Arabidopsis thaliana: one gene and its partners. The protein of the gene in region 3 purifies or fractionates together with the protein of the main gene of each other region. This does not show direct contact. Each region holds a gene or a part of one and is shown on either strand. Other genes may lie near its edges.

What was found.
Region 1: the proteins of IMD2 (region 3) and AT1G50380 fractionate together in Arabidopsis thaliana (co-fractionation; one large-scale study listed by BioGRID). This does not show direct contact.
Region 2: the proteins of IMD2 (region 3) and GSA2 fractionate together in Arabidopsis thaliana (co-fractionation; one large-scale study listed by BioGRID). This does not show direct contact.

The regions. Positions count from the first base shown.
Region 1 is NC_003070.9:18,658,838-18,665,639, reverse strand, and holds the start of AT1G50380 (Prolyl oligopeptidase family protein), read right to left. Parts: upstream 3,375-6,802; 5' UTR 3,359-3,374; coding exon 2,989-3,358; intron 2,842-2,988; coding exon 2,558-2,841; intron 2,457-2,557; coding exon 2,262-2,456; intron 2,043-2,261; coding exon 1,696-2,042; intron 1,490-1,695; coding exon 1,198-1,489; intron 919-1,197; coding exon 760-918; intron 667-759; coding exon 301-666; intron 85-300; coding exon 19-84; intron 1-18. Other genes in the region: FYPP1 (Calcineurin-like metallo-phosphoesterase superfamily protein), read right to left, coding at 3,968-4,051, 4,406-4,477, 4,567-4,662, 4,760-4,903, 5,009-5,059, 5,172-5,282, 5,642-5,699, 5,916-5,983 and 2 more.
Region 2 is NC_003074.8:18,047,571-18,054,372, forward strand, and holds GSA2 (glutamate-1-semialdehyde 2,1-aminomutase 2), read left to right. Parts: upstream 1-2,000; 5' UTR 2,001-2,126; coding exon 2,127-2,303; intron 2,304-2,561; coding exon 2,562-2,735; intron 2,736-2,812; coding exon 2,813-3,457; intron 3,458-3,557; coding exon 3,558-3,980; 3' UTR 3,981-4,208; downstream 4,209-6,802. Other genes in the region: DCF (HXXXD-type acyl-transferase family protein), read left to right, coding at 865-1,725; SWEET11 (Nodulin MtN3 family protein), read right to left, coding at 5,244-5,531, 6,078-6,197, 6,293-6,454, 6,557-6,767. UniProt on the Arabidopsis thaliana protein: Transaminase converting glutamate 1-semialdehyde (GSA) to 5-aminolevulinate (ALA). Involved in the biosynthesis of tetrapyrroles.
Region 3 is NC_003070.9:30,284,321-30,291,122, reverse strand, and holds IMD2 (isopropylmalate dehydrogenase 2), read right to left. Parts: upstream 3,361-6,802; 5' UTR 3,291-3,360; coding exon 3,074-3,290; intron 2,875-3,073; coding exon 2,745-2,874; intron 2,636-2,744; coding exon 2,524-2,635; intron 2,446-2,523; coding exon 2,370-2,445; intron 2,280-2,369; coding exon 2,191-2,279; intron 2,099-2,190; coding exon 2,012-2,098; intron 1,922-2,011; coding exon 1,805-1,921; intron 1,715-1,804; coding exon 1,607-1,714; intron 1,526-1,606; coding exon 1,472-1,525; intron 1,366-1,471; coding exon 1,213-1,365; intron 1,072-1,212; coding exon 997-1,071; 3' UTR 824-996; downstream 1-823. Other genes in the region: AT1G80570 (RNI-like superfamily protein), read right to left, coding at 1-303, 432-462; AT1G80555 (Isocitrate/isopropylmalate dehydrogenase family protein), read right to left, coding at 3,384-3,630, 3,705-3,834, 3,907-4,117; AT1G80550 (Pentatricopeptide repeat (PPR) superfamily protein), read left to right, coding at 4,419-5,765. UniProt on the Arabidopsis thaliana protein: Involved in leucine biosynthesis; catalyzes the oxidative decarboxylation step in leucine biosynthesis (primary metabolism). Catalyzes the oxidation of 3-carboxy-2-hydroxy-4-methylpentanoate (3-isopropylmalate, 3-IPM) to 3-carboxy-4-methyl-2-oxopentanoate.

The DNA of each region.
Region 1 (6,802 bases), about 12 Mb from region 3:
ACCCAAACATATACTCACATTGTCTACAGGGGAATATGACTTCATATAGAAGTAAAATTCTTCCTTTCTGGGGTCACCCCACTCCTGAAGCCAAAAATTAGACAACTTTTAAGCACTTTTTTAATTATCATACAAAATCAAACTACAGCTACTTCATTCATAAGGAAATCTATCCATCCTTATGCTTTCCCAGTTCCTAATGCAAATCCCTATGAAGACATGCCAGATGTTGTACTCTGTAAAGTAAGAATAATATATGTAATTCGCTGTTTTAAGGCACAGAACAAGCATCAAACACACCTCCCACTCTGATGTCGTAAGCGGAATTGTTGGGTCCAGCATTGTTGTCAAGACATCTACAAAAGGAACTCCAGCGATAACCACCTTGAACAAGTCAGGCCTCATATTAACAACAGCACCCATCAGCAATCCACCAGCACTTCTCCCTTCCATGCACAGTTTTTCTTTCGAGCAATATTTTAGTTCTATTAAACGCTCAGCACAAGCAATAAAATCAGTGAATGTGTTTTTCTTCTTCAACAGCTTCCCATTCTCATACCACTGTCTCCCCATCTCACCGCCCCCACGAACATGAGCAATTACAAAGGTAAACCCACGATCTAACAGGGACAACCTTGATGCCTTGAAATAAGGATCCACAGAAATCTGTAATAAAGATAAAGAGTATTTTATAGTTCCGTTGGAAAGAAGTAAAAGGACCGAGAATCTGGGAACCATAAAAGCTTCAACTAAAAATACCTCATATGAACCATATCCATAAAGGAGTAATGGATCAGATCCATCAAGCTTTGCAAGTTTTTTGTTATACACAATAGACATTGGAATTTGAGTTCCGTCTGATGCAGCGACCCACTTTCTTTCTGTAACATAATTTGATGCATCAAAACCTCCCAATACCTGAATGAAATACAGCAGGCTATCATAAAGATCAAGCGATGACCATTTCAAAAGAGAAGGCATGTTAGGGAAAAATGCGTAAAAACACAGTACCAGTAAAAAAAAACTAAAATTTTTCATAATTTTCATGTGTTGTATTTCAAAATTGTCAATACGACTTATTACCATTCAATGAAATACGCTTATGCATTGCAAATAAAATCGGCAACTAAATATGCAGAGGACATAGGAAATTGATCCAAAGTGAGGGAGAACGAATGAATAAGTAGTTTTACTTACTGTGTCAATCTTCTTGACAACGGAAGTGCCACTGTCCATGTCATAGTCATACACAGAAGGAGGTGTTTTCATTGAGCAGTATTTAAACCTTAAAACCCTGGACGAAAATTCGGACTCGGTTGAGTCAACTGAATAGACCGGGTCAACAAAGCTCACATTACGACCACCTTGGAGACCTTCCAGTGGCTGTCCCTCAGCAGGAAGCCTATGAACTGTGATCTTCTGCAGTCCGTTTTCACGCTCGAAGACTGCAAGATGATCTCGGAAAAGCTGAATTTCCTGAATCTTTACACTGTCCATGCAAATATAATTGTTTAGCTAGGCATACAAGGTGACCTTGATGTTAAATGCATTATAAAACTAATCTAGCAACTGGAAAACAACCCAGCATGCATGTCGTCTAAGCCGAAGGATATACATGATATTAAAATTAGTTATACTTCATTTGGATTTTGGATAGGCCACAATGGCAACCAGATTCTAACAAAAAAAGTTTACCTTTCTCTATGTGGAAGCAGAACAGTTGTCTTTGATGTGTCATCAACTGGACAGGCGATCAGTTCTGAGTTGTAAAATTCAGTGCTCCTTCTCTGGATGAAAAAGTGGTTCCCACGATGACTGACAGATGAATCAATTCCATCTACACGAGGTGTCAACACCCTGAGTCCATCCTGAGTCTTGGACACATCAAGCGAGAAGACAAATCTTGTAGTTTTGCTTTCAGATGCAACAAATAAATACTTATGGCTCTCAGAAGCGTGGAGTTCAAGAGAAAACATATCATCCTTCTCATGGTAAAGGCATACATCACTGCTCTGCTCTGTCCCTAATTTATGTAACCAAACCTGTTACAAAGAATATATGAAGATCAGAACATGAAAGCCAAAAATATTGACGTATCTCATAATAAGTACAGTCAAATTTGGTAAGAAAATATGGCATCTATGAGGTGTATAATGTCAACAATTGATCGAAACGGTAAAATCTATATTCATGCAAAAGTTAATCCCTTCCTCCAGTACTATACACTAAGACAGTAGGGTGGGAAAAGATTGAAGGTAAACCTTATCAGGTCGCAGGATTTCGTCCATTGTTATGTAGAGCAAAGCATCATTACCAGCCCATTCAAGATAAGAAGTAAGTCCTTTAAGCTGTTGCCCCACTGGTTTTAGGGCTTCAGAGTCGATGACATTCACTGTATATATCTCATCACCTTTTGTGTCCTCTGCATATGCCACCAATTTATGATCGGGACTCGCCTATAAAAAGAATCAAGAAAATGAAACATCAAGTTAGTAAAGAGCAAGTTTGAAAAGGATATCTCTTAGGACGATTTTTAAAGTCTATTTTCTAGTCAAACCTTGAAGGCCCCAATTCTGTAGTAGTCATGCTCTTGAGCCTTGGTATTCTCATCCAATATCACATGCTCAGGAGGAGCATCTGGACCAGTTGGCATAGTATCATAGACAGAAGGCTCAGCTTTGTTGTCAGTGATCAAACGTCTACAGTGCTGAATATATTCCTTTCCTTGAAGATTTTTCTCATAATAATAGTAAGGACCCTTGCGTAGAGGTGCAGATATATCATCTTCTTTGATCCTCCCTCTTATTTCAGCAAACAGCTGATTCTCAAATTGCTTGGTCCCTGAATTTTTATTTTCCAGTCTAATTTATCACAAGCTTGCATAATCAACAAGTCACTAATACTCCAAATTGAAAACAAGGAAAGCTAAAAACCCTAATCCCCTAAGTATCACAACGTCACTGACAGAGGCAACTTGAAAAGACTCACCAGACATGACGAAATCAGTGTAGTGATTTTCTTCACGAAGATAAGAAAGCATGTCGGGATTGGTGCGAGAATCGTCACGGAGCCAGTAGTAATTGTCAACCCTAACGTCACCGAACATCTCCATCACATGCTCCACCTTCTTCGCTACAGGAGGGGATCTCGATTCCGCCATGTCTCTCGGTGATGTCAACCGCACTGACGCAGCTCCGGTTTCAGAGGAAGAGGAAAAAGAAGAAGACAGCCGTAGAATAGAGCGGCGGCGAGGAACAAGAGGAACGAGGCAAGAGAGAGGAGTATCGAAGTGGAGAAGACGACTACGAGTCGCGAGAAAGTGAGTGCCGAGAGATACGAGTCCACGCCTTATTATCATATTACGTGTCCGTTTTAGTTGCCTAGAGACTCGCGACCAGTTTGTTAATAGAGGACAGGTCATATCCGGTTTGGATAAACCGGCCTATCTATGATTCCGGTTACAAAATTATTAACTCTTTCGTGAATTTTTGCTAGGATTATTGAACAAAACCAAATAATTAGATTAGAAACAAATTACTGTTGAATGTTGATTAATGGTCTTCTATGTTCTTGTAGTGGACTATTTTTGAGCTTGATGAATTTTATAAGCCTGAGATTAACCCAGAACCTAATCAAACCGTGCTAAACTGCAAATAAGCTGAGATGATAAAAATTGGTCTTGCTTACAGAACAAAGATGAAACAAAACAAGAAAGAAAGCACGTATAATAATAACATCCAGAAGAGGTTCAGGTTAAAGTGCATCAAAACCACTAAAATTACCAAAGTGACATTCACTTTCACAAGAAAATGTTTCCAAAATGGAAAAAGGAAAAAAAAAACAATGGAAGTGTAAACAACATCAGAAGATATACCTTGAAAGAACATAAGCCAATGGCAATCATGATAATGGCTAACTTGATAAGAGCAATACGAGACTAATAATGATGTAGGATCATCATCATGAATCACAGGAAATAAGGAACACCTGTCCTTGGCCCTCTCATTTGATTGTTCTCTTCTGTCTCCGTGAAGAACTTCACTTCCCTTTCCTGGTAATTAAGCATATTTTAACAAATCATTACTGTCAGTGAGGACCAGATCCTAAACACTTCCCAGAAACAGGTCTATATATGAAAAGTAACACACAGAGCACAATCAATATGGACAGACTGATTCCACGCGAACTGTGAATTGTTACTAAATAAATGGCTTAAACATCATAACTCTATCTCACAAGAGTCACTCATGTGTATATGTTTGGGTCGAGAGACAAGTATCAAAGGCAGTAACTTATTTAATCAAAAAGGAAAAGTAGAATCCGAAGACGAGTGCATAAAAGTAAGAAGAACATGAAACAAGATATTGTGGCAGATCAGTAACAAAAGAGAAAACAAATGCCTCACCATGTTGTCATTGAAACTCAATATAGAAGCCACATTCCCACAACGGTAGCAGTAATTAGGCGCAGACCACACCTTTACAAAAAAAATAAAGAGAAGAAACATCACCAAGCAGATTATACTTCCAACTATCCAAAATGATCATAAGGAAGCAAGGCACTTACAGTTACAAGACCTTTATCTTGGAACATGTACTTGAGACCTTCTTGTACAAGCTGGTGAGCGCGACATACTAGATCAAGATTGTTAATATGGTTAAACTGCACAAGAAGCAAAACCACAGATCAGGGAACTGAAATACATTTATTTCTTTTCACACCTTATTCAAATTTCAACCCCAGAAAAAAATATAAATACCTCAGTGGTAACCCTGGACCCGAAAAGCCAACCAGCTCCACGTGGACTGACAGCCCATGTTTCAATATCTTCAGGATCACTCCACATAAGATCACAGAAGGGTCCTTCATGCGGTATTTCGCAATTCCGCTCAATCAATCTTATCTAGAGAACAAAATAACATCTAAATGAGTAAATGAGATTTAATCTAATCATAAATAACACTTGCATGGTGAAAACCAAAAGTAATTTAAAATAGCACATTTTAACCTGGTCAATTGTCCGTACATCAGGTGAAAGGCCACCATGAACACATAGAACCTACATTGAGGATGCAATACGTTTTAATATGGTATACAGCTAACTTATGCATTCATAAAATTATACAAGAACACATCATAACACAATGCCAAAGAAGCTGAGAAATACTTACAGTGCCATCTATAATAGCTGAAAGTGTAAGATAGTCAAAAACATCCGTGCAATATCTCCAAGCATTAGCATTACCATACTTCCTTTGGCATTCGTCATAGAAACCATACACCTAGCAAATATAAAATTGGTACGACAATTTAAGAAAACTATAAAAATGAACCTGCAGGGCACAAAATATCACTACAATCTTCGTCCTTGACAGTGGATGTTAAAAGATATAGGATATGGTGTAGGATAGAGATAAATCAAGAGCTTCCGAGAAGAAAACTTATGGTTGCAAAGGGTTCACATAAAATGCATCTTAGTTAACATCTATGCCTATATCTAGCATGGCATTGCCACATGTACAAAATAAACTTTCAAAACTAGTTATAACAATTGAGCGAAAATTACTTCTCAACCAGTAACTGCGTGAAGAGCACAGCAAGTCAGCAACAATAGATATAAATGGATTAGAATAATGCATACCTGAGTTAGCTGTCTACTTTCATGATTTCCACGCAAAAGAGTGATATTGGCTGGATGTCTACATATTGAAATACAAGGAAACGAGTGATTTTAAGCTCACAGCAAAGTAAGTTAGAATATAAATTTCCTGGAATACAAGTTAAATCGATTTTCCAGTAGAGCAATGCGTTTACAGCTTAAAGAGCATTCTCAAGAGAACTATGATATACAGTGTGAAACGGAAGGATGACGATCCATGACATATATAACGCACAATTTCTACGGAAAATCTTACCTTGCTTTAAGAAGCAAAAGAATGGTGAAAACTTCAAGACTGTTGTAACCTCTATCAACGAAATCCCCCTGAGAAAATCCCCCACAGATAATTAAACTATGTGTTACATATTGATATGTCATACGAGCCTACGCCCAAAGTCAGAGTCTATACCATAAATATGTAATTGGTCTCGGGAACATGACCTCCGGTCTGGAAAAGTTTCATAAGATCATGAAACTGGCCATGGATATCACCACAGACGGTGACAGGACTGTTGACAGGTTGTACATTTGATTCCTCAATAAGAATTTCTTTCACCTATATAATAGTCAAAATATCTTGTGAATTACCAGAGTATCTTAGCAAATCATTGTCATGAAAAAAGAAGAAGACGGCTGCTACTACAAGTTTCAACACTAAAATTACTATAATAAATCCTCAAATAACAGTTTGCAAGCGTGGACTTGGTGCATCCATAAATTGGCTAAAGAAGAGCTAAACTTATCCCTAATTCCTTAGAATTTAGAATTGAAATAGCAAAGTCAATAAATCCTCTATTGGAAAAATGAGAGAAAAACCCTAAAATCCGTAGACCAAAATGGCAAAGGAAACAGTAAGGGAGAGAGACCAGATTCAAAGTAAAGTGCCACAAAGCAAGCTCTAAAGTCTCAAAAGAGTAAGCGAAGAATTGGGTTTTTGTAGATGCATGAATATTCGGGGAAGAGAAAGCAAGCAAGAGAAGAAAGAAGAAAGAAGAAGAAGGCGTACGTATTCGCAGAGAAGTTGAAGCTCGTCCTCAGAGAGATGTTGGCCGTCTTTAACCTTGGAAATCCATTGATCTAAATCCATGGCGGCCTTTTATTATCCTCTCTGTCTCTCTCTTTCGGTGGTGAAGTGGAAATTGG
Region 2 (6,802 bases), on a different chromosome or scaffold from region 3:
GTCGTTAAATAGGTTAACAGAATTATTTTACGGCGTTAATATCTCGTGTATCTGCTCTGTTAGAACAAAACGACATCGTTTATTGCAGAGACAAAGGAACGTCGTTTTGTTTGTTGAAACAAATTTAAACCCTAAATCCCCAAATCGATTTATTATCTGCGATTTTGAGGTCAAGGTGGGTCTGTGATTTTGAGATAATGAAATCGATTTGGGGATTTAGGGTTTAAATTTGTTTCAAGACAAAACGACGATGTTTTGTCTCTGCAATAAACGACGTTGTTTTGTTCTAACAGAGCAAATAAACGAGACATTAACGCCGTAAATTTTTTCTGTTAACCTATTTAACGACATGACTCAAATGGCAAGTCAACAAACACTTTGTCATTTATTTCGAAAGTCAACAAAAACTTTACGATTTATTTATCTTCCGTGAAGTTCAAAATTAAATCGTCCCAAATTTGAAAGACATTTTTCCCGAATATCATTTATGAATTATGATACAATGTTACTAAAAAAATCATTTTTATGTCTCATGCATGTAGTAACGAACACACACTAATATAGTAACAAATGATCAGACGTTACTCTTAAAAACTAGAGTGGTCATCATGTTCAAACTTTAAGGTACATTAGACCATCTAATTAGAACCATGCGTAATTAGTATTGTTAAGTAACCAAAAGAAATAACGACGATCAATAGTAAGTTTTTTTTTTTTGTGTGTGTAACCAATAGGTAGTACTTAAGTTAAATGTATATTATTTCATTCCTATTTCTTTAAATTGGTATCGATTCATTCTAAAATGTTGCATGGATTTTTTTTAACATCTTTAGATAAAGTTTTATGTTCCGTTTTTTTTTTCAGGTGACAAATTTCAAATGTGGGGGTTTTGTCCTAGGACTAGGCATGAGCCACAACATGTTCGATGGAGTCGCCGCTGCGGAGTTCCTCAACTCGTGGTGCGAGATGGCCAAGGGTCTTCCTTTATCCGTCCCACCATTCTTGGACCGTACGATTCTCCGGTCACGAAACCCTCCCAAAATCGAGTTCCCACACAATGAATTCGACGAAATTGAAGATATTTCCGACACCGGAAAAATCTACGATGAAGAAAAACTCATCTACAAATCATTTCTTTTCGAACCCGAAAAGCTTGAGAAGCTCAAGATCATGGCGATTGAAGAAAATAACAATAATAAGGTATCAACATTTCAAGCCTTAACCGGGTTTCTTTGGAAATCAAGATGCGAAGCTCTACGGTTTAAACCGGACCAACGGGTTAAGCTTCTGTTTGCGGCGGATGGACGGTCAAGATTCATCCCACGTCTCCCGCAAGGATATTGCGGGAACGGGATTGTGTTAACCGGTTTGGTGACATCATCGGGAGAATTAGTTGGGAACCCTCTTTCTCACTCGGTGGGTTTGGTCAAGAGACTGGTGGAGCTGGTTACGGACGGCTTCATGCGGTCGGCTATGGACTACTTCGAGGTGAACCGGACACGGCCGAGTATGAACGCGACACTTTTGATTACATCCTGGTCAAAATTGACATTGCATAAACTGGATTTCGGTTGGGGAGAACCGGTTTTCTCTGGACCGGTTGGTTTACCAGGGAGGGAAGTGATCTTGTTCTTACCAAGTGGTGATGATATGAAGAGTATCAATGTGTTTCTTGGCCTTCCTACTTCAGCTATGGAAGTGTTTGAAGAGCTTATGAAGATCTGAAAAAGAACATACATTTTCATAATCAAATTATGATATATTCTACCAAATTATAAGCAAAGGAAAATTATAATCTAGTCATTATTTATACATGTTATATTTGAATTCACGTTTGTATCCATTACAAAAATTTATGTAATTCGCAGAAAATATATATATGTCAAATTAAGTTATCGGACCGGATCGGGTCAAAGAAACCGGATTGGTTAACAAAGTCAAACAAACAAATATTGACTTGAGTTTCAGATTCCAGTAAAATCAAACCGGATCGGGTCTGAATTTAAACCACCGGGTCGGCTCCATCTAAAATCTGAAGATCATCTCCGCCTTATCTTGTTGACTATCTCTGTACTACTTACGAGCGCAAGTGAGAGAGTAACAGAGAAACGTAGAGATATAGCAAAATGGCTGCGACGCTTACTGGATCAGGGATTGCTCTAGGGTTTTCGTGCTCCGCAAAGTTCTCTAAGAGAGCTTCTTCGTCGTCCAACCGTCGCTGCATCAAGATGTCGGTTTCGGTAGAGGAGAAGACGAAGAAATTCACTCTTCAGAAATCTGAGGAAGCTTTCAATGCTGCGAAGGTTAGGCTTTTCAATTTCCATGAATTCAGTCAATAAGAAATGTTTCTTCAGATTGATTACGCCTTGATGTTCTGTTGCTTTGGTTTTGTGGGATTTGATCATATTTTTGGTTAAAGTGATTATCTTTGTTACCCTTCAAGGAACATTGCTAACAAAATAAGATTACTTGAGATAGAATCATAATCTGAGATAAAGTTTTTGTTTTTATTGGTTTCATTCTGTTCTGATTATTGAAATTGGTTTGGTTCCTTTGTGTAGAACTTAATGCCTGGAGGTGTGAACTCACCTGTACGTGCTTTCAAATCTGTTGGTGGACAACCAGTGGTGATGGATTCTGCAAAGGGCTCACGAATAAGAGACATTGATGGAAATGAATACATTGACTATGTTGGATCTTGGGGACCTGCTATAATTGGTCATGCTGATGATGAGGTTTGTTTCTTTCCAGTTTTGATGATTTTTAGATAGCTGAAAGTTTAGTAGTTGATACGGTGATGTGTCTAGTGCAGGTTCTTGCTGCTTTGGCTGAGACAATGAAGAAAGGAACAAGCTTTGGTGCTCCTTGTCTCTTAGAGAATGTTCTTGCTGAGATGGTGATTTCAGCTGTTCCAAGTATTGAAATGGTTCGGTTTGTTAACTCCGGTACAGAGGCATGTATGGGTGTGCTACGTCTTGCTCGTGCCTTCACAGGGAAACAAAAGTTCATCAAGTTTGAAGGTTGTTATCATGGTCATGCAAACTCTTTCCTTGTCAAAGCAGGTAGTGGTGTAGCTACTTTGGGTCTACCTGACTCGCCTGGGGTCCCCAAAGCAGCTACTTCAGATACTTTAACAGCTCCATACAATGATATTGCTGCTGTTGAGAAGCTTTTTGAGGCAAACAAAGGAGAGATTGCTGCCATCATTCTTGAACCTGTTGTTGGTAACTCGGGTTTTATTACACCTAAACCAGAGTTCATTGAGGGAATACGCCGGATCACTAAAGACAATGGTGCTCTTCTTATTTTCGATGAAGTCATGACTGGTTTTCGTTTAGCCTATGGTGGAGCTCAAGAATACTTTGGAATCACACCTGACTTAACAACTCTTGGGAAAATCATCGGTGGTGGTCTTCCTGTGGGAGCATACGGTGGAAGAAGAGACATCATGGAAATGGTAAAGCTAGAGTTGTTAACAATTGAACCGAATAATCTTTTGAATTTGCTGCAAGAGATTGAGAAAGTCCTGATCCTTTATCACTCATGTCTTTTTGCAGGTTGCACCCGCAGGACCGATGTATCAAGCTGGTACGCTAAGTGGTAATCCGTTGGCTATGACAGCGGGTATACACACGCTGAAGCGGTTAAGTCAGCCAGGGACATATGAATACTTAGACAAGATCACAAAAGAGCTTACAAATGGGATACTAGAAGCCGGGAAGAAAACCGGGCATGCGATGTGTGGCGGTTACATAAGCGGGATGTTCGGTTTCTTCTTCACGGAAGGACCCGTCTATGATTTCTCGGATGCAAAGAAGAGTGATACAGAGAAGTTTGGAAAGTTTTTCAGAGGAATGTTGGAAGAAGGTGTCTACTTGGCACCTTCTCAATTCGAGGCCGGTTTTACTAGCTTGGCTCACACTTCAGAAGACATCCAATTCACTATCGCAGCGGCCGAGAAGGTTCTAAGTCGGCTCTAAAATGTCTCTGGAAGCTTCCAGGGAACCATGAATGTATTTGAAATTTTTTGATGTAGAGAAAATTAGATTCAATTGAGAGCAAGCAAGCAATCTCACAAAATTTAACTGTGGTAAGAAAAGTCAAAATGTCTATGAAGATTTGTTGACTTTTTAAAAAGAGTTCTTGCTTTGCGTTAACGTCTTACAAATCACACAGAATGATTTCTATTGCAACACACTTTTTCATCATGTAGCCAACATCATAATCTGAGTCATAAGACGATATATTTCTCCACGGAACAAGGGAAGTGCATCTGCAAAGTTAAGCTTCCATATTCAGTTTTCTTCACATTTCTATAGATTCCCTTGCCCATTTATGTCTTTGTCCGACCTAAGACGACCTAGAAAGTGGATACACAGTCCATCCAACGAGAAAGTTTCACTAGTCTCCTACTTCCCAAGGTTACGTCTTTCATATGTTTAGTTGCATTTTTCTTTCTTCACATCTTTGCTTCTAGCTGTAGTTTGTTCAATCCAACCGACCGAGCTGCTTTTCATTGTCTTAAAGAATGAACAAGAAACATCCTGATGATTATGTGAAGATGTTTTGGAGACCAAGCTGATTCGAACTTTCTTTCTAATTCGGACACAATTGAGTTGGAATTATTTGAAATTGGAAAGGCCCAGTAAGGAAGTGATCCAATATTACTTGCCTTAGACAAAGACTTGGCCCACTCAGTCCATACAAAATATTCCTTTTTATTTATTTAAAAATATGAATACTCCTTGACTTAGGCCAATCAAAATTTATAATTGATATTTTTTGTTAAAAGAATTTATGATTGATAATGCCAATATTTTCTGTATTGAAACATTTTTTAAATTTTTCTATTTTTTGTTTTTTTTGGTTATATCCGAAGAGTAATGTGACCACGTTAATTCTCAAGTCAAATATTATCTTTCATAATTAGAAAACTTTATCGTATATTATTAATATTATGTCCTTAAAATAAACAGAAAACATTAAGTATGACCAAAAAAAAAAAAGACAGAATCATGATGGATATTTTAAATAGTTTTCGTTAAATCAGAAAATAGGAAATATACATTATCCCCAATAGATAATTACACAAATTTTTATAAAGAAGTAGAGAAACTAACTCCGGAAAATTAATCCTCTACTTCGCACACTTGATAAACTCAGAAAAATACGACAGCGTAACGGGGTACACGTGGTGGTTGGTATATCAAGTTGGGGTAAAGTCAACATTAACGTATTTTTATTCATGTAGCTGCTGCGGAAGAGGACTGCTTGCCATGTTTAGGGGTTTGTCCATCTTCAATCTCAGCCCTTCGATCATTTCCGCAGGTACACTTGTTCGCTTGACGAACCACTGAGATTGGCTCAGGGGATGAAACTGTGCCTAGCTTCAACATATCGAGGCTCACCTCCGGTAACTTAGCAGCTTCGACTTCTTTCTCTCCTAGATGCGGCGACGTTTTACAGTATTTGTAGACAACGTAGAGTATCATTTGGAGTGCACCGAGAGCAAAACCAAGCACATTCGGGAACTGCACGAAAAACATTTGTTGTAGTGGCAATAACATAATAACATTTTAATATACTCACTTTTCCACTTTCTAGCTTGTGAATAAAGTACGTTAAAAACGAAATAAAGTAAAGTTTATGGCAAACTTGTGCGGCATCGATAGAAGTTACGTACAAAATATAATTTCTATGTAACAATAAAGATAAAAAGAACTTAATATATTATGAACTTCTTTTGCAAAAGCTAAATCTTTTAATGTTTCTGTGGAACATAAAGCGAGAGTTTCTTTATAATTTGGTTTATTTTTATCGTAAAGGACGATACCAAACAAAAGGTTTTGCTTTCATTAATCGTTTTTTTTATCTTTTGCCAATCCATATCTCTTTTTATCTATGAATCTATGATTAGAACCTCAAAGTCTCAGGTTCATTAGAAACAAAAGCACCCACTTCATGTAATATACTGTTATGATAATGATAGACATATGATTATGATGCTTGACGACATGATAATCATGTTAAAACATATATATTCATTATAGCAAATAGAGAGAGATGAAATGGCTTACAGCAACATAGATGTCCTTGAGAGCAAGACCATAAAGGAGCCATATGACAGCACTGATGGTAAGGGTTAAGGATAAGCTAAAGGGCATGTACTCCACACTTCTTGTCTTTATTACCGTCCTCTATATATAATTAAACAAAAATATATATGTTAATTATTATTGTTACCAAATCATAATTTAATCACTTGGTAAATTAGCTATTTCGTAGTACTTACGATTATGCTTAGAGGAGCAGCGAAAACACAAACAGAGAATCCGACACAGATTCCTCCGATAATCTTAGCACGTGTGGCTCCTTTTACCAAGAATTGGCAAAGAAGGAGAATCGCACAGAATCCTCCAAAGTTCATAAGAAGTAGCATCTTCACTGTCAACATCTGCATCCATTAAGAAATGTTTTATTTAGCAACTTCATTTGAATAATGTTATGAACAACGTAACATGCATGTCATATGAACTGAGGATTAATTATTAGTTACCCGAGCTGGCTTGGGAGCGTAGGCAAGGAACATAGAGATGTAGATGGTTTCGATGAAGCAACCAAAGGCGTTAATGGTTACGAGGAGGAAGACATCTTTCTTCTGTGTCGCATAGTAAAGCCAAAGCGTCGCACTGAAGAGCGCCACAACATAAGGAATAGACTGAAACCCTTCTGTTGTCTTCTTCTTCCAAATCCTATAGAACGTTGGCCTGCGTCCAAAAAAAAACTGAATATTAGTTACTCA
Region 3 (6,802 bases):
GAGAATGACAGTTTGTGGTCAGGACAAGAAGGCCTTGATCGTCAACTTGTTTGCCAAGTTTTGACATCCAGCCTGAGTATATAATCTCCACTTTGGAAAGATTTGGAAACCTCCTGCAGAGAGAAAGCAATGCATCGGATGCAGGAACTAAACCGCAACCAATCCGCAGAGAGTATCTTTGCTCGTTGTCCAGCGAGAAGAAACGTTTGCATGAGAGTGAAAGCGAGTTTCTGTCATCGGTAGTATGAAGCTTACTGAGAATGTCCCAAACCAAATGGTCTGGCAATTCATCCATTTGTCTATCTGTGTGAACAAAAAAGGATCAAAGCCTAACATGTCAAGTGAAAAGTCCACCTTGAAAACACAAAACAGAGCTTTGATGGAACTCAGAGATTATGCAGAAAAACGAAGGCGTTTGACTTTTTACTTACCACCACCAAGATACGCAATCCCAATGAACATTCAAAAAGCCATGAAAATTTCCAGAAACAAAATTGATAAGATAGAAATAAAAAACAGAGGAAAAACTCATCAGAGATGTCTAAATTGTGAATTAGTTCCCAAGCAGAGATTTAGATTTCTTGAACATAATAATGAATAATCAAGAAATAACAAAAATTCACATCCTTGATTCATCGATTAAACTCAGCTCTAAAAGTAGGCTTGCCATGAAACAGAAATCAGAGGAAAAAGATCTCACCGGAAAGAGCGAAAACTCTTGCGACGTTTGACCACACTCGGCGCCGGATAAGGACTACGGGGGAGATTGAATCTTTTTTGTCTCTCTAATTTTTGGCTTTTTGAGTGATACTCTGACACGTCATTATCTCCACAAGGATATTTATTTCTCAGAAAAAAACATCAACGTTTCAGTTCGATCAAATAAGTCCCTCTAATAATCTCACATTATAAAAATCGCTAATAAAACCGAGACTCTTTGAGTACAAGGTACAACATTTGTTGTTGGAAATGAACTCTTCAAAGTTTCTACAAATATTAAACAGAAGCTGGAACTTGGGAGTCCACTGACTTCAGAACCTCCTCTCCCATCTCCTTGCAGCCCACCAGTTTCTGATCATACCCCATACAAAAAGACAAAAAAATATTACTACTGTTTGTTGTTGCCTGCTTGTTTAAACGTTTCTCAAACACTAACTCGGGACGTTTTTAAGGAAAAGGAAACATGTTATAAGAGTGGTTCAAGAAACATACTGTTCCCGCGGAGTATATGTCTCCAGTTCTGAATCCGTTGTTCAGAGCAACCAACACTGCGTCTTCAATTCTCTTGGCTGCCTTTTCTTCTCCAAGTCCGTATTTCAGAAGCATTGCAGCGCTTAGAATGGTTGCCAATGGGTTTGCCTTATCCTGAAAATTCAAAGAATCAACAAGTTGTGCTCTTTGATTTTGGCATTAAACTAGTTTTGATATCAGGGAACAAAAACCGTGTTTGTTTGAAGGATAGAGTTAGAACCTGTCCAGCAATATCAGGTGCAGAACCATGTATAGGTTCAAAGAGTCCAGGTCCCTGTATTACACATGGCGGGTTTATGTTCAGACTAGATCATACTGCTTGCATACTAAAAGATCATATTATTTTATATCATACCGAATCACTGAGACTAGCAGATGGCAGCATTCCTATGCTTCCTGTGATCATTGAAGCTTCATCGGATAATATATCACCAAAAATGTTGTTTGTGACGATGGTGTCAAACTGCATTTATCAAACAATCAAATAATTGCAAGGATTTACACCTGTCGCACATCAAAGCTGACTAGTTTGGCAAATACAAAGTACACGTACCTGTTTTGGGTCACGAACAAGCTGCATCGCGGCATTGTCAACATACATATGTGACAGCTCAACATCAGGATATTCAGAGGCTAATGCTGTTACTCGTTTCCTCCATAAGATTGAGGCCTGCATATAAAAAAATTCAGTGTTATGTTCGTTCCACAGGAAACAAGAGAGAGGAAAACAAGTCAAAGAAAACATAATTATCAACCGCACTTCCAAAACATTAGCTTTGTCAACAGAACACAGCTTGCCACGCCGTTTCCGAGCAGTCTCGAAGGCAACACGAGCAATTCTATCAATCTGACGAACATACAAAATGCTTTATTAGATTTGACCCTAGTACTTAACAATCAGTCCACGGAAATCTGCATCTGAGATTTTCAATAGAGTACCTCGTGAGCAGCATAAACCTCAGTATTAAACCCAACTTCCTCGCCATTTTCATTGGTCTTTATGCCCCTTGGCTCTCCAAAGTAAATACCTGTTACCATGAGACATGACATTTTATAAGATATTGTCACACGAGAAAGACAAGAATTACGATCAATTTTTAATAAGTAATAAAACTGACCTCCTGTAAGCTCCCTTACAACCATTAGATCAACACCTTCTGCTACCTCTCTCTTTAAGGTGGAAGCATCCACTAACTGTATAAAAACAACAAAATTAGAGTTTCACACAAGAAACAAAGTTCAGGCAACCAAGAAATCTCTGAGGATGGTCACCTGTGGGAGGACTGTAGCAGGTCTCAGATTTGCAAAGACTTTGAGAGCTGCACGAATCTGAAGTAACCCCTTCTCAGGCCTCAGATGTTTTTCATTGTTATCCCATTTGTACCTTAAGTTATTATTATACCAACATGAGAAAATGACTAAATGAGAAACTGTATTTCCCAAAACAATAATTAAGAGCCAACAAGATTAGTGGGAAAAGAGAGAAGACAGACCCTCCAATGGCTCCAAGAAGCACTGCATCTGATTCTTTTGCAGCTGAGATAGTCTCCTCCGGCAAGGGCACTCCGACCAAATCCAAAGCAGCTCCTCCAATGGGCATCTCACGGAAGTTAAATTCCACTCCTGATACAGAGCACAGACGCAATGTATTAGGCAATCTCCGTGGCCTTTGAGCCCAACCCACGATTGTAAATCCCATTCAAAATCTCGCCAATTTCTAATGCTCACATCTTTCAATTCCAAGCAGAAAACAGTAGTCCCCAATTGAAATGAAACAGCAACTAAATTAAATAAGAAAGGGAACAAGAGAGAGAGAGAGAACCTTCCAAAGATCCAGCTTGCTGAAGCACATTTTTGGCAATGGAGACAACCTCCGGACCGATGCCGTCTCCGGGAAGGAGAGTGATGGTGTATCGTTTTTTACCAGGGGAAGCAACAGCACATCTTACTCTAAAGGGTGCCAATGACTGTTTACTTACAGCTCTGAACGTAGCCGGAACCTTGACCGTCCGGATATTCGTCTGCAGAGCCGCCGCCATTTCAGGGAGAAAGGATTGATTGGTCTTTTTCGGATTTTGAAACCGCAAGTCAAATGGATACTACTAGTACACTCAGACTTTACTTCTTTGCATTTATGGGTCCTTTTTTGCACATTGTTTTATTTTCAGAATTGACCCCAAAGTTTTTAATTTTGTAAATGGACACCTTACATTACCACATACAACATATATATATATATATATATATATATATATATATCCATTTATTAGCAGCACCTCACAGAAGAAGGAGGGCTCATCAAATACTTGAAGAGCCGCACGAAGCTGCAACAAGGCCGTTATCGGCTTCAAATGCTTGGGATTGTTATCCCATTTCGGCCTTCAATTCAAAAATCCAAACTTTAGATGAATCCAAACTTGAGATGAACGAAAGTTATGGTAATAATACCATACCATCCAACAGCTCCGAGAAGAAGAGCGTCTGATTGCTTTGCCCTGATCAATGTTTCCTTAGGCAGTGGAACTCCGACAAGATCTAAAGCAACACCTCCTATAGGCAACTCCTCGAAGCTAAAATCTATCCCTGATATCCAAAAACACGATTTCAGTTGGGAAAATCAAATTAAATTAGGCAACAGGATGAGAAAGAAGGAACCTTCAAGAGACCCAGCTAAACAAAGAACGTCAACAGCGACTGGGATCACTTCGTTACCGACGCCATCGCCGGGAAGAACCGCGATGGTGTACCGTTTCTTTGGAGTGTTGGCGGCACATCTGATCACAGAAGCTCTCCTAAAGCTCTGTTTGGTTGCGGACATAAACGCAACCGGAATCTGGGTACTGCTGACGTGGATGACTCCCGCCATTTACTACAACAAAGACTACAAGGAGACCTGGAAAGAACTTTTGTGTTTATAATCAAACCAATATTAACCGTTCGATTATTTATTTTCACCTCTGGATGGCTCAATTATGATGGGCCTAAGAAAGATTCGTAGAAGATAGATCGGCCCAAATGTTCCAAATATTAACACAAGTCCAGCGGGCTTTGGGCCCATAAATGGTATTCGGGTCAGATTTTAAAATGGGTATTCGGGTCAAAATTCGCCCGTTAGATGATGAACCCTAATTTCGTGTGTACAGGGAGCGGAGAGGGGAAACAAGAGAATGCTCTTGTTGCGGCGACTCAATCGAGTTCGGATTGCTTCCCCTTACTCCGTTCGGCTTCTGTCAGTAAAACCTATTTCAAATGTCGATGATGCGAAGTTTCGATCTCAGGAAGAAGAAGATCAGTCCAGTTACGATCAGAAAACAGTATGCGAAGCTCTCACATGTTACAGCAACGATTGGCAAAAGGCGTTGGAGTTTTTCAACTGGGTCGAGAGAGAATCCGGATTCAGACATACCACCGAGACATTCAATCGGGTGATCGATATTCTGGGTAAGTATTTCGAGTTTGAAATTTCTTGGGCTTTGATTAACCGCATGATCGGAAACACGGAATCTGTGCCGAATCACGTCACGTTTCGTATAGTCTTTAAGCGTTATGTGACGGCTCATCTTGTTCAGGAGGCTATTGATGCGTATGATAAATTGGATGATTTCAATTTGAGAGATGAAACATCATTTTATAATCTGGTCGATGCGCTTTGCGAGCATAAACATGTGGTTGAAGCTGAAGAGCTTTGTTTTGGGAAGAATGTCATTGGTAATGGTTTTAGTGTGAGTAATACTAAGATTCATAATCTGATTCTTCGTGGGTGGTCGAAATTGGGATGGTGGGGTAAATGCAAGGAGTATTGGAAGAAGATGGATACTGAAGGTGTTACTAAGGATCTTTTTTCGTATTCCATTTACATGGATATCATGTGCAAGAGCGGGAAACCGTGGAAAGCTGTGAAGTTGTATAAGGAAATGAAGAGTAGAAGGATGAAACTCGATGTGGTTGCTTATAACACTGTGATTCGAGCCATTGGAGCGTCGCAAGGTGTTGAATTCGGTATCAGGGTATTTCGGGAGATGAGGGAAAGAGGTTGTGAACCTAATGTTGCGACTCATAACACAATCATTAAGCTTCTATGTGAAGACGGGAGGATGAGAGACGCGTATCGGATGCTTGATGAGATGCCTAAGAGAGGTTGTCAACCCGATTCGATTACTTACATGTGTCTCTTTTCCCGTTTGGAGAAACCGAGTGAGATCCTAAGTCTGTTTGGTAGGATGATAAGGAGTGGAGTGAGGCCAAAGATGGATACTTATGTGATGCTAATGAGGAAGTTTGAGAGATGGGGATTTCTTCAGCCGGTATTATATGTGTGGAAGACAATGAAAGAGTCTGGGGATACTCCTGATTCAGCGGCGTATAATGCTGTGATTGATGCGTTGATTCAGAAAGGAATGTTGGATATGGCTAGGGAATATGAGGAGGAAATGATCGAAAGAGGGCTATCTCCAAGGAGAAGGCCTGAGTTGGTAGAAAAGTCCTTGGACGAAACGCTTGTCTGTAGAGAATAGATAACTAGATATGAAGAAACTCTTTGGTTATGTGTTCAAAACAGACATGAAGCAATAGAGAAGCGTCCTTTTGGATGGAGAAATCTCCCCAAGGTATATCATCTTTGCCATAAAGTGGCTTTGTTTCAACTCAAAACCGAGGAGAAAACACTGAGGTTCATTGAGAAATCTGGTTGAGTTGTGTGTCTTAAGCCAAATTCCGAAGATTTGGTTTTGAAAGATGGTTTGTCGCCTCCTATATGTGTTCTACTACATATACGTACCATTTGTAATTCACTCTCTAACTTAATTTTTTTTTGTTGTTGTTCCACTCTGTGACAACCACAGGCATTTTGTGGCTATTTTGTAAGATCGTTAAGCTCAATAAAACACCCTACAGAAACGATGGATGATCCATCATGGATCACATTCTTAAAACCATTGGAGAATATGGCGTTATTATTGTAATTTGAAAAAAATTCAACTAAAGAATACGACTTTTAATCTTAGCTTACTTTTGTAAAGATTATGCAGACATGACGTAACAATTTTCTAAAAAAAATCTTAGTTACAACATTTTTCTTTAGAAAATGCCATGACAGAGCAAAAGCAGGAAAAGTTGGTACCAGATGATCATAAATGCAATTTTCCGTTACAAAATTAGAGTAGCTCTCATGTCAGTATTGGTGGTAATTAATGCCATTCTCCGTTTCTTTTTCTAATCTCCGAGTCGACCCTGAGTATAAAGTATTTTTACCAATTTCATTTCAATTTTATTGTATAATCGGTTTTATAGAAAAAAATGTGATTCATTAATTTAAGTTTTAGGTCACACAGCCAATAAGAGTTAAAAGAGTAATTAATTAAGGATTTTAAAAACTAAGAAAATGAGGTGAAAACTTAAAACAAAACAGAATAACAACAATGGATGGTGAAAATCTAAATAAAGGGAACAGTTTCGTTTCATCTTCTTTGTCCTTGATTTCCTGAAGAAGTAAAAGATTCTTATTCATACGTTTGATTGATAAACCCTTTTTTAGAGTTTCAGAAATTAGAAA